3 linked regions of the Danio rerio genome follow. The protein of the gene in region 1 interacts with the protein of each later gene in a pairwise test. Links are inferred from orthologs where the notes say so. Each region holds a gene or a part of one and is shown in the gene's direction. Other genes may lie near its edges. The genes, in order: igf1ra, shc1 and ptpn11b.

Region 1 (3,658 bases):
TTCATTCTGATTGCTTGCCGCCGAACTGCATCATAGTTCATTACCATTAAGTTGACTTGATTTCAACTCTCCTTGACACCCACACCGGGGAAGACGCACCGTGCTGCTCCTCGCCGCTTATCGCCGCCGGCTTTCATTGAAAATGAATGACTTCCGGCTACTTTTTCACTCTTGCCGCTTTCGGTATGATCGTACGGTAAATGATTCAATGACTTCCTCATGATTATAGTTCCTTGATTTGTTAATTGAACAGATCACCTGAAAATGTGTTGCTTCATTGACTCACCAATCACGTATCACGTCTACTGGTGTAAAGTTGTAATATTCAGAGTCACTGAAAATCACACTGACGCACAGAATGACAGTCACGAGTCCTTTTGCTTTTGCACTGTAAATCAGCACTTATGGACTGCCACACAGCCAATCAAATCTGAGGACTGTTGTGTAACTGTTAGCTGGTGTTTCTCATCATGACACATTCCAGCTCAGTTTAAGCCTGCCACAGATGGACCGTGGCTTCTCGTTGGGCCTGGCCCGACTAGATGCTTCCCAGGCTAATAGTCCAAACTGCAGTCCATCTGCTTGCTAGACTTTTTGGCTTCATTTCTCGCTCTGCTCGTCCTCTCCCCCTCCTCTCCGCCATCTAAATTCCCTCAACAGTATCAAACAGTAATAATATTTAGCTGTAGAGAGTCCAGAGCTGCAGTTTACTAATAAGACTGGCACACAACAGCGCCAGGCCAAAACCCCTGCATCCTGACTTCACACTGGGCTTCCTTCTTCTCCTCTGTACTCTGCTTCATAACTGTATACCCCAGCCATTATTATTTTATAATCAACTAATCCAATAGCTAGCAACACACACACAGACATATAAACCCAAATTGTACTTAGTTTTCTACGCATGTCCTAGAATAAGCATTCAGTGTTAATAAAGCTATCAGAACAAAACACGTGTAGTGTATGCAATATGGAAGGCCATTAATGCCAAAAGTCTTTAACGGCCCGTTTACACTGAGTGGTACAGTACAGTATGTTACGGGTCACCTTTATCAGGCTTGCATTTCCACTGCTAAAAGGGTACCAGTGGTATGAAATGTCTAAGTAAAGCTGTATAGGTTGTTCATATATCATATGAGAAGCACTTCTCGCAAAACAGATGCTTTATACACATAAATACTCGTGTTGACCATGGCTTGTTATTACATGTATATATGTAATGTCTTGGTTGTGTATTTAAAAATGGCACTTTCTTTGTTTTCATTCTTCTGGCTTGTGCATGAGCTAGAGACGTATCTCTTTAAACCAATATCGCTAAGCTGTGTGTCTCACTTCGCCTTTTGTTACTCTTTTGTTGTGCTAAGTACCCTTTTAAAAGGGTACCCAAAAAGTGGTACGGTACTTCTAGGTTTTTGGTACCTTTTGACTGTAGAAATGGCCATAAAAGCGTACCGAACCGTACCATAACATATCATAAATGTAACATTAAAATTCATGTCAACATGCATGTTTTGACTATGTTAATGTTATTTTGAATGTTTCTTTAGTGTTTGTTAGGGCTGCACGATACATAAAATTACATTGCAATATTTACTTTTTCTGCAATATATATTGCGATATGAATGTAATTTATCAAAATATTTAAAAACTCAATTTGTATTCAATTCATTATTGTACATAGATTGGGATCATATTGTAGGGGAGTGGATCTGCATAAAATACCTTTTAAAAGTCCAAAAATGTATCAAATAAACAAATTAAAGCACGGATGAAAACAATGGACCAATTCAATATGGTGATGCCATTGGCCCATAAACATTTTCTTGCTTGTTATCAAACTATTGTATAACTGTAACAAGTTTTTTAGGAGTGACCTGTTCAATCATAACCTCATGTTAAAACAGTTATCATAACATTATTTATCAATATGCGACTCTTTTTGGATTTCTAGAAGAAATAAAAATTAAAAATGTAAAACAGGAAATACATTGGGACCATTGTGAGTCTAACAATATTGAGGTACAGCTATTCAGTAATTAAATGCATAGATCCTGCGATGTAACTTGCAGATTTGCATACTGCGATATCGATTAATGCTGAAAAAATGCATAGAAATGCAGTTATACCAGCTGATATTTGCAGATGAATCAATATCTGAAATTTTGTACATGTATTCAGAAGGACTGTATTTTTGCATCACATATGGAAATTTGTCAAATACTGGAATTTCATTGGCCGTTGTGCTTGTCTACATGATCGTACTGCATGCTGGCAATCAAACTTTTGACCCTGATGGCCTTCCGTACATGACAGTTTTTCTCTTATACAAGTTCCTAAATTGCTTAATAAATTACTAATCTTACAGTATAACTGACTTTTATCTGGTTTACGCCTCAGGAGGTTTTTAAAAATGTTAATTTTAGGATGTTTCCTTGTATACTAAAACTGACATTTCTTTTGTAACAGCAACTGACGTGTTCTCTTTATTTGTGTTCTTCTTTTCCAGTGTGTCCTAAGGAGTGTGAGAAGAGAGCGTGCACGGATGCGGGCCAGTGTTGTCACCCCCAGTGCCTGGGCAGCTGTACGGAAGCAGACAATGATAAAGCATGCGCCGCCTGCCAGCATTACTTTCACGAGGACCGATGTGTCGAGGCCTGCCCGCCAGATACCTACAAGTTTGAAGGATGGCGCTGCATCACTATGGAGATGTGTGCCCGTGTTCACCTACCCAGCGAGGTGGACTTCGTCATTCACAATGGAGAGTGTATGCCGGACTGTCCACCCGGATTCACCCGAAATGAGACTCAGAGGTACGACACTAGAAATGCCTTATTAGATGCCGGTGTCAGTAGTGTTTCCTTTACTGTATATAGTGATGCTGCCGTGCCATTTAAACACAGAAAACAGCAGGGGTTGTTGAGTGCGTGAAGTGTCCATCATTACACATTTCATTTTACCGGTTGAATAAGTGCATCATCTGGGTATTTAAAGTGCACTTTTTTGAGGAGGGGGGGTTCTCAGTGTGAACGCATTACTTACGCTGTTTTTACTACAAAATGGCATAGAATAGTGCTTATTTATGCTACTTGGAATGCGCCTAAAAACGTAGGCGTACTACATTCGCCATTTTATCATCATCACGTGACCTACCCATGGCAGTGTCGTCGCTTCACTCCTGTTCATGAATTCGCTCGCGATGCATCATGGGATAGCATAGCCATACCTGTCAACATTGGGATGTAAAAATAAGGGATATACCCACCATTATAAGGGACCCTAACCCCATGACCTCACCCCCCACCACCAAAACACACACACAAACACTCTTCAGAGAAACACTCAAAATACGGTAGAAATACAGGAAAATACCTTTACAGGATAATAGCGAGATAGAACACGGGAGAATCCTGGGAAAAACGGGAGGGTTGACAGGGATGAGCATAGTGTCCAACTGATGCGCACTTCAGAATCTCACCTGTAGTAGGTCATCTGGGAACTTCTCACATACTGTTTTTTGAATGCTATCAATTAAGACATACTATTTGCCTCGCATACTGTTTTAAGCATACTACATAGTATGGAAGTATGCGATTTCGGACGCAGCTTATGTAAAAAATTAAATGTAGCTTCTTTTTTTGGAGTTTTGAAAAACATAAGA
Region 2 (4,169 bases), on another chromosome or scaffold:
AAATTGTGTTGTTTTCCTGAGTTTGTTAAATTAATACGCTAATTAGAAAAAAACGTAAGAGGCTCAGGTGTTTTTTTAATAGGCAAAAAGGAGTAACAGGACAGCCTGGAGAACGGGAAAGAAGACGTGGGAGGGGGCGCGGGGGAGCGAGAGATTATTTGGAAGAAGAGAGCCAGTGTGCTGGAGAGGGAGAGAGAACTGGAGAGGCAGAAGCTGGAGGAGGAGAGGAGGAACGCTGTGGGATACACTGTGTGGAGGCTGAGGGAGGGATTCCAGGAGAGGAAGGATAGAGAGGAGGATAAACTTAAAGGGACGAGCACAGAGGGTGCGAAAGCAGCGCAGCCAGAAGTGATTTGGAAAAGACGTGAGGAAGAGGAGGAGAAGGAAAGGGATAGAGCTCGGCTTGGCGACAGGGGTCACAAAATCATCTGGAGGAGGAGGGACAGAGAGTGACGGGAAAACATAGAGATCTGTCAGCACTAAGCACTCGCAGATATGTGACAGGAAGTGAGGTGGCAGATTTAGACTTACAGTATGAATAAGCCTGCATGTACTCTGATGTCTTGTATTTTAGGTAGTAGGTTGTGTACATCAGGGGTCTTCACATGGTTCTAGACCTCCTTTTGAGATGTTGCATGAAATTAAATAAGCCTAGTCAGTGATAGTTGTGTTCAAATATTAATAAACTTTGACAACTAAAACCCATTTAAATCATTATTATTAATATGCAGAGTCATATTTGCATGTTTCCTTTGTGACTGAAGGAAAAATTAAATATTTAGCTGCACTATTTTAACCTCAGTATGCATAGCAACAAATGGTTTGTTTCATGAGATGGCAACACAAGCCGTCATGGACCCCCATTGAAGATCCCTGCTGTATATCTTTTTAACACCTGAACTAAATTAAATCTCTAAAATTATGTTGATCTGCGCTGGTCAAGTCATCATTGAACGAATCATCATTAAATGATGCTCATTCTCTGGATCAGTACTTTAGCATTTTCCATCCATCTATTCCCGCTCTCTTCCTCTCTCACTCTATCGATCCGTCTGTCTGACGGAAGCCTTTTCTCTCAAAGTCTCAGCTGCAGCTAATAGGCTTTTTATGGGACTCTGTCAGACAAGAGATAGTAGATTGGAGCCCTACACATGCAAAGACAAATGAACACACACATAAACACACTCGCATGCATACCAAACACAACAGTACTCTTCTTCACACATCTACCTAGATGGATTGCGTCTAGAGCACTTATGTATAAATATACCAATAACTTCAAGACAATCGTACTATATTTAGTGATTCGTAGTGTCTGAGAAGCTCTATGCAGACTTAAGATCTGATGCAAAACCTTCTACAGGCTGTGTATGACAACAGCAGAAAACTTGATTACTTTTTTGCATCTGTCCTTTTGTCTCTTTTTACATCCTGTTTTTGATACTTTCCGGACTGAACAGTCAGCACACTGTCGTCTGTCTGGCGTGATGATGAAGGAATCGGTAGATGCAGAGAAAAAGAGGACTATAAAAGACAAGGAAAGACAAGTTATCGATTGCGACAGAGCGACGTGGAGAGACATTTAAGGACGTTTAGTGGACTCTGAGACGTCTTAGACATCATGGAGCTTGTCCCCAAAACTAAGTACACACCCTTTAGGAGTGACTCCTTCAGCTCAACAGACGAGACGGCGTCCAATCCTTCCCTTCCTTCTTCAGCTCCTCTCACCCCTCTCACCCCTCCTGGCATCCCTCCTTCTCTCTCCTCCTCCTCCCTCACCCCTATTCTGCCACCTTCTTCTCCACGGCAGGCTGAGAATAGCCCCACCACCTTATGCTCCTTCTTCCCCAGGATGGGAGCCCTGAGGCTGGGTGTGTCTTCCACTCTGCTCCCAGGCTTAAAGGCCTCCAGCAGGCCAGCAAATGTGCCTGGTAGCCAGGGAGGTTTGGGAGAGTCCTCGGAAGACACAGGGACCGTCAACTCTTCTCCTCCTCGTCTTCTTCCTCTTCTTTCTCTAACAGCCCCATCTCCTCCTCCTCGTCCCCCACAGGATATGAACCGGCTGGGCGGGGCCTCACGGAGGGCCCGTGTGGAAGGGGGCCAGCTCGGCGGAGATGAGTGGACACGGCATGGCTCCTTTGTCAACAAGCCTACCCGAGGCTGGCTGCACTCGGACATTGTGGTCAGCACCAGCGGAGTCTCCTACACTGTCAGGGTAAGATTCAATTCATTTCAAGTGTTTGTATGGAGCTTTTCCCAACAAGTATCATTCCAATGCCGCTTTACAAAATGTGTACATTATTGAACAAAATAAAGCCATATCCAAGAACTGGTTGCCCATGAAGTTAAGCAGGGCTGCCCATGGTCAGCATCTATATAAGAGATCTCCTGAAAATTCTAGATTGCTTCTAGAACTGTTGATACTGAGGCCAGTAAGGCTGCTCTGTGAGGGTTTTATTGCCATTGAAGGATGGGGACACTGTATTGTAAGTAGTGCTATTCTTTGGCTAAAATCAAGGTCCTTGTGGTCTGTGGTCATTAAAACTCCTCGTAGAGAGTAAAGGATGGCCAAAATCCCTCCATTGGCACTTATAAATCATGGCCTCAGTTTAATAATTCCCTCGAGTGAACTGACTCTATAACTCTCTCCTATCCATGTATAGCTATTGTGTGGTGAGCCCACTTGCACCATTGCATCAGCCCAGGTGGATGCTACACATTGTTGGTGGTTAAGAACGATCCCTGAGATGATTGAAAACACCAATACACATGCTAAAATTAGCATAAAATGCTATCCATCTCTAGCAAAGCCAAAATAGCATACGACATGCTAGCAGTATGGCAAAATGTACTAGCATTATGTTTAATTAGTCTAGCATTGTGTTGAAACATTCTATTAGCAAGTTAAACATGGCGTCATAGTATTAATGCAGAGGGTGATAGAGGGTGATAGCAAGTCTACTAACATGCTAACAATGTTAGCACATAGCAAGCACCCAGAATACCACAACAAATGGCTAGCAATGCCTTTTAGCCACAGAATGCCATAGCCTCTTTAAATGTTCATTTTTAGCCTACTTATTTAAAACTACTCCCTCAAATTGCCTGATAAGACTTTTTAAACTCAGGGTGCTTTCACACCTACACTTTTGTTTCGGAACGTATCCTGTTAGCCCAGTTAGTGCGGTTCGATTGGCATATGTGAACAGGGCTCTGTTCCGCGCCAAAGTAATCGCTCCGAGATCGCTTGAATGAGGTGGGCTCGGCTCGATTGAAACGAACCCTGGAAGAAGAGAGAATTATGAGTATGGCGGGAAGTTTCGCGAGTCTCCGGATGCCCGCAAATGAGAGATGATCTCCCGGTAATCTCGCGTCACCCCTCCCCACCGCGTCTCTCCTCAGACACGTCGTGCGCGCGCACCCTGTCAATCACCACCTCTCCTGACAGCTTAGCGGGACGCTGCAAAATAAACCCTGACACTCTGACCAATGTGAGGAGAGTTTACTCGCATGTGACTTTTAGCTCTTTTGGTCCGATTAGAAACTTTGCAGTGTGAAAGCGAACCGCTCCAAGAGCAAAGAGCAACAATGTAACATTTGTAATCTTTGTTTCGGAACAACTGAATCGATTCACAGGTGTGAAAGCACCCTCAGAGTCAATGTTTGTCATGTCTTTATTACGTCTTTATACTTCCTGTGCAATGGACATGATATGTACCTTTAATTAGGCATCCTGCAGTGGTAGACAGTAAAGCAGACAAAGAAATCTCATACATTTCAATAGAACAAGGGACCAGTTATATCTGAGGTACAGAACACAGAGAGACTTGGACCACCCAGCGGTACAAAACACCATAGAAAACCTTCACCTTAGCCCTAACTCTTGTTCTGCACATTCATGTGAAGGTGTAGGGGTGTCCCATGTCTCTTTAGTCTGAAGCCATATGGTTAGACAGCCCTTTAAACAGATATTTTCACAGAATACAGCAGCTAAAATGGCAACATGGCTGCACACGCAAATAAAAAGATGCATGAATTAATATTGTTTGCCATTAAGATGTTAGATAAGACATTACAAATTTTTTTACTAAGAATTTTACAACAAACAAGCACGTTTAATATATTCATAACGGCATTCGTGTTTTATCGTCATGTTTTTTTTTTTTTAA
Region 3 (3,658 bases), on another chromosome or scaffold:
TTTACAGCAACAAGAATGTAAACTCCTTTACCCCAGGAAAGAGGGGCAGAGACCAGAAAATAAAAACAAGAACAGATATAAGAATATACTACCATGTGAGTAACGTGCTGTATTTTTCTGGTTTCTTAATGGGAGAGGCATGTTTCATAATGCAACGGTTAATCTCCAGGGCTCTTGTTCATGCTTTGATCATCATTTTCTGGGTTGCAGTTGACACCACTCGAGTGCAGATCAAGGAAGCGGATCCTGATGTTCCCGGATCCGATTACATCAACGCTAACTATATCCGAGTAAGACCCCGCTTCGCTCGTAATGATTACACGTCAATCTGAATGTCAAGCTTTTGCTGGGTTGTTGAGCTGTGATCAATAAGTTTAGAGATTGCATGTTCTTTTTATCCTTATTGATTTTGTTCTTTTTTCATTTAGAGCGTGAATGAAGAAGGACGTCATATGGATGAAGGTAAAGTGTTCATCGCTACTCAGGGCTGCCTTCAGAACACAGTCCTGGACTTCTGGAAAATGGTTTATCAGGAAAATACACATGTTATTGTCATGACAACCAAGGAGATGGAGAGAGGACGGGTAAGGTCCAGGATGAAAATATTGTACATTCATTCATTCATTCATTCATTCATTCATTCATTCATTCGATCGTTCATTAATACATTTATATTTATATTATATTATATTATATTATATTATATTATATTATATTATATTATATTATATTATATTATATTATATTATTTTATATTATATTATATTATATTATATTATATTATATTATATTATTTTATTTTATTTTTTGTCATATTATGTTATATTGTTTGTCATGGGATACATAGAATATAAGAAAATAAACAATTTGTTATAAAAAAAAATATTTTTTATGCTCTTAATTATATTTCCTTAATTATTTGTGATAATAAAAGTAATTTATATTTTTGGGGGGAGAAATTCATTCAGAATTCATATCAGTTTTAAATACACTGACCATAAAACTGCTAAATGATGACAATCTTGATTCAATTACCCATACAATTATATATTCCAGCCACAATGATTTGGTTTTATTTATTAAACATCTGACGAGTGCAATCCCAGTTGGCATAAAATTATGAAACAGCGTCAGTCTTTGGTCTCTTCAACCTTATGGTATGATTATTAGTCAAATTATTGCAGAAGTATTGGGATTAAAGTTTTGATGTAACCACTATTGAATATTGCACAGCAAAATAGACATTCATATTTTTTAAAGTAACACTATTTTATAAATAATGTTTATCAATTACAGTGTTACGCCAAAAGGTGGTGATAAGTTACTATTAAAAATGCATTTGTCATTGACTTATTTATTCAAGAGAGTCATTCAAAAGGGCTGATTCATCCAGTAATGAAACAAGTGAGGTCTATATAAGCCAGTGATTAAATCAACCTTTCAAACCGATGGGAATTAATTAAATTAACATTGTGTCCAAATCTCTAGTATATTACATGTCATTTTGTTGAAGTCCACCAAAAAAATTAAGTTTCCTCCTTATTTACTCGTACTTAATTGATTATGAACTTTAATGAATTTCTTTTTTTCTGTTAAACACAAAGCAAGATATTATGAAGAATTTTGCAAAAAAGCAACCATTGACATCTATAGTAGGAACAAAAAACACTATGAAAGTCAATTGTTGTGTTTTCCAACATTTTTTATTATAGATTCTCTTGTGTTCATCAGAAAAATGGAGGATGACTAAATAATGGCAAAATTAAAATTTTGGGATCTATTTGGGAACTTTTTAACTTTTCCTTTAATTTGTCAATTCAGAATCGTGGATGAAACATGATTATTATTTTGAACAAAAATGTGATTCTTCTTATATACCAAAAATTTCTAATGCATAATTTGAGAAAATTGAGAATCCACTAATGTTGTATAGCTAAATAGACAACACAGATTTTTTTTTGGGAACTAAACATTGAACTTCTCCCTATAGAATAAATGTGTGCGGTACTGGCCAGACTTGAATTCAACAAAGGAGTTTGGGAAGGTGTGTGTGAAGAACATTGAGGAACACACAGCTCAGGACTACATACGGCGAGAGCTTGAAGTCACACGTCTAGACAGGGTAAGAGCAATGCGATGACAGATGACATGCTGCAGCCAGAGGCAGTTCATAACCTTTGACCTTGTTGTTTACAGTAGCAGCTTGGAGAGAATCTTCTCACTTACTTCAAACCTGTATTACTTTACATTACTAATCTAGGTTGGATGTAGTTTTTCTCATTTTGTAAATTATCATTTGATGTTTCTTTTTTTTTTTTTTTTGTAATTCACTCAGGACTTACTCATTCATATTCATTGAAAGGGGAAGAGAAACCTATTTGTGACCTGTGTACGAATATTTAGACCATAAAACATGTTTTAATAGAAGGTACTGTATATTTTCAAGTTATATTAGAGAACGTTTTTTTAAGGGAAACTTTTAAAAAGATGTCTCCTTTTTCTATTTTACCCTATTTATCATTGGTCAAAATGAAAGAACTCTCATGACTTTTAATCAGTGTGATATCTATATGTTTTTATATAATGCATGTTTGTTTAGAAACAGTTATGATTGTAAATTATAAACTTAATATTCAATTCCAATGTTGACATAGACATACTGCTGATATGGCATAAATAAATAAATAAATAAATACATACATACATATATACATACATATATACATACATACATACATACATACATACATACATACATACATACATACATACATACATGCATACATAAATACTTTTTGTAATTACAGAGAGAGCCTCCCAGGTGTATCTGGCACTATCAGTACCTGAGTTGGCCTGATCACGGTGTTCCAAATGAACCTGGAGGAGTGTTGAGCTTCCTGGAGCAAGTGAACCGAACCCAGAGCGCCATTCCAGAGAGCGGACCCATAGTGGTTCACTGCAGGTACTACACAGCTCACACGTTCTACTTAGATTTATTTAATTATTTTGCTAAATGTGGTCTTAAAGGCACAGTTCTCCCCCCTTCCCCCATAAAAAAATCCAATACTTATTCCCTGTGATGTCCTTCAAATGCTATATGCTATTTATGCTATTAGTTTCTTTTGCCAAACACAAAAAGAGAATTCTAATGAAAAGTCCATTCATTCATTTATTCATTTTCTGAAAACTCCATTCATTCATTTGCCTTAAAAATGTAGCTATTTTAAAAACCCATTAGTTTATTTAAAGGTCATACTCAAATAAACACTAGAATAGATGTTTTTTCTGATGTAATTAAATCTAAATTATGCTTCAAACATTTGATTTTAAAACACTATCAATGACTGAAAACCAAAAAATACAAAAAAAAAATCTTTAGATTCTTATTCACTCTGTCACTTCCGTCATTGGTATTTATTTTCAGCTGTCTGCTGCACTATATGTTCACCTTTGTGGTCGGTCTAGCCGGCGCAATAGCCACATTAGTAATAGCACATACTAGGAAGGTGGGTATCAGGGTTGCCAGGTTTTTGCAATAAAACCCAATGCCCATCCAAAATACCCCAAAACTAGCCTGATGGCCAATCAAAAATATCCCAATATCATAAGTCAAAACTTGCCATCGCCCATTTGTAAAATAAATGTTGTACAGGTACAT

What was found.
Region 2: the proteins of igf1ra (region 1) and shc1 interact in a two-hybrid assay, tested with the Homo sapiens proteins (4 studies listed by BioGRID and IntAct). The link is inferred for Danio rerio from reciprocal best matches to the Homo sapiens genes IGF1R and SHC1.
Region 3: the proteins of igf1ra (region 1) and ptpn11b interact in binary tests that used the Homo sapiens proteins (3 or more experiments, as listed by UniProt). The link is inferred for Danio rerio from reciprocal best matches to the Homo sapiens genes IGF1R and PTPN11.

What each region holds. Positions count from the first base shown.
Region 1 is NC_133193.1:22,311,197-22,314,854, reverse strand, and holds part of igf1ra (insulin-like growth factor 1a receptor), read left to right. Parts: intron 1-2,506; coding exon 2,507-2,810; intron 2,811-3,658. UniProt on the Homo sapiens protein: Receptor tyrosine kinase which mediates actions of insulin-like growth factor 1 (IGF1). Binds IGF1 with high affinity and IGF2 and insulin (INS) with a lower affinity. The activated IGF1R is involved in cell growth and survival control.
Region 2 is NC_133191.1:24,126,380-24,130,548, reverse strand, and holds the start of shc1 (SHC-transforming protein 1), read left to right. Parts: upstream 1-1,271; 5' UTR 1,272-1,621; coding exon 1,622-2,215; intron 2,216-4,169. UniProt on the Homo sapiens protein: Signaling adapter that couples activated growth factor receptors to signaling pathways. Participates in a signaling cascade initiated by activated KIT and KITLG/SCF.
Region 3 is NC_133198.1:26,921,065-26,924,722, forward strand, and holds part of ptpn11b (tyrosine-protein phosphatase non-receptor type 11b), read left to right. Parts: coding exon 1-95; intron 96-210; coding exon 211-290; intron 291-428; coding exon 429-584; intron 585-1,990; coding exon 1,991-2,122; intron 2,123-2,807; coding exon 2,808-2,962; intron 2,963-3,658. UniProt on the Homo sapiens protein: Acts downstream of various receptor and cytoplasmic protein tyrosine kinases to participate in the signal transduction from the cell surface to the nucleus. Positively regulates MAPK signal transduction pathway. Dephosphorylates GAB1, ARHGAP35 and EGFR.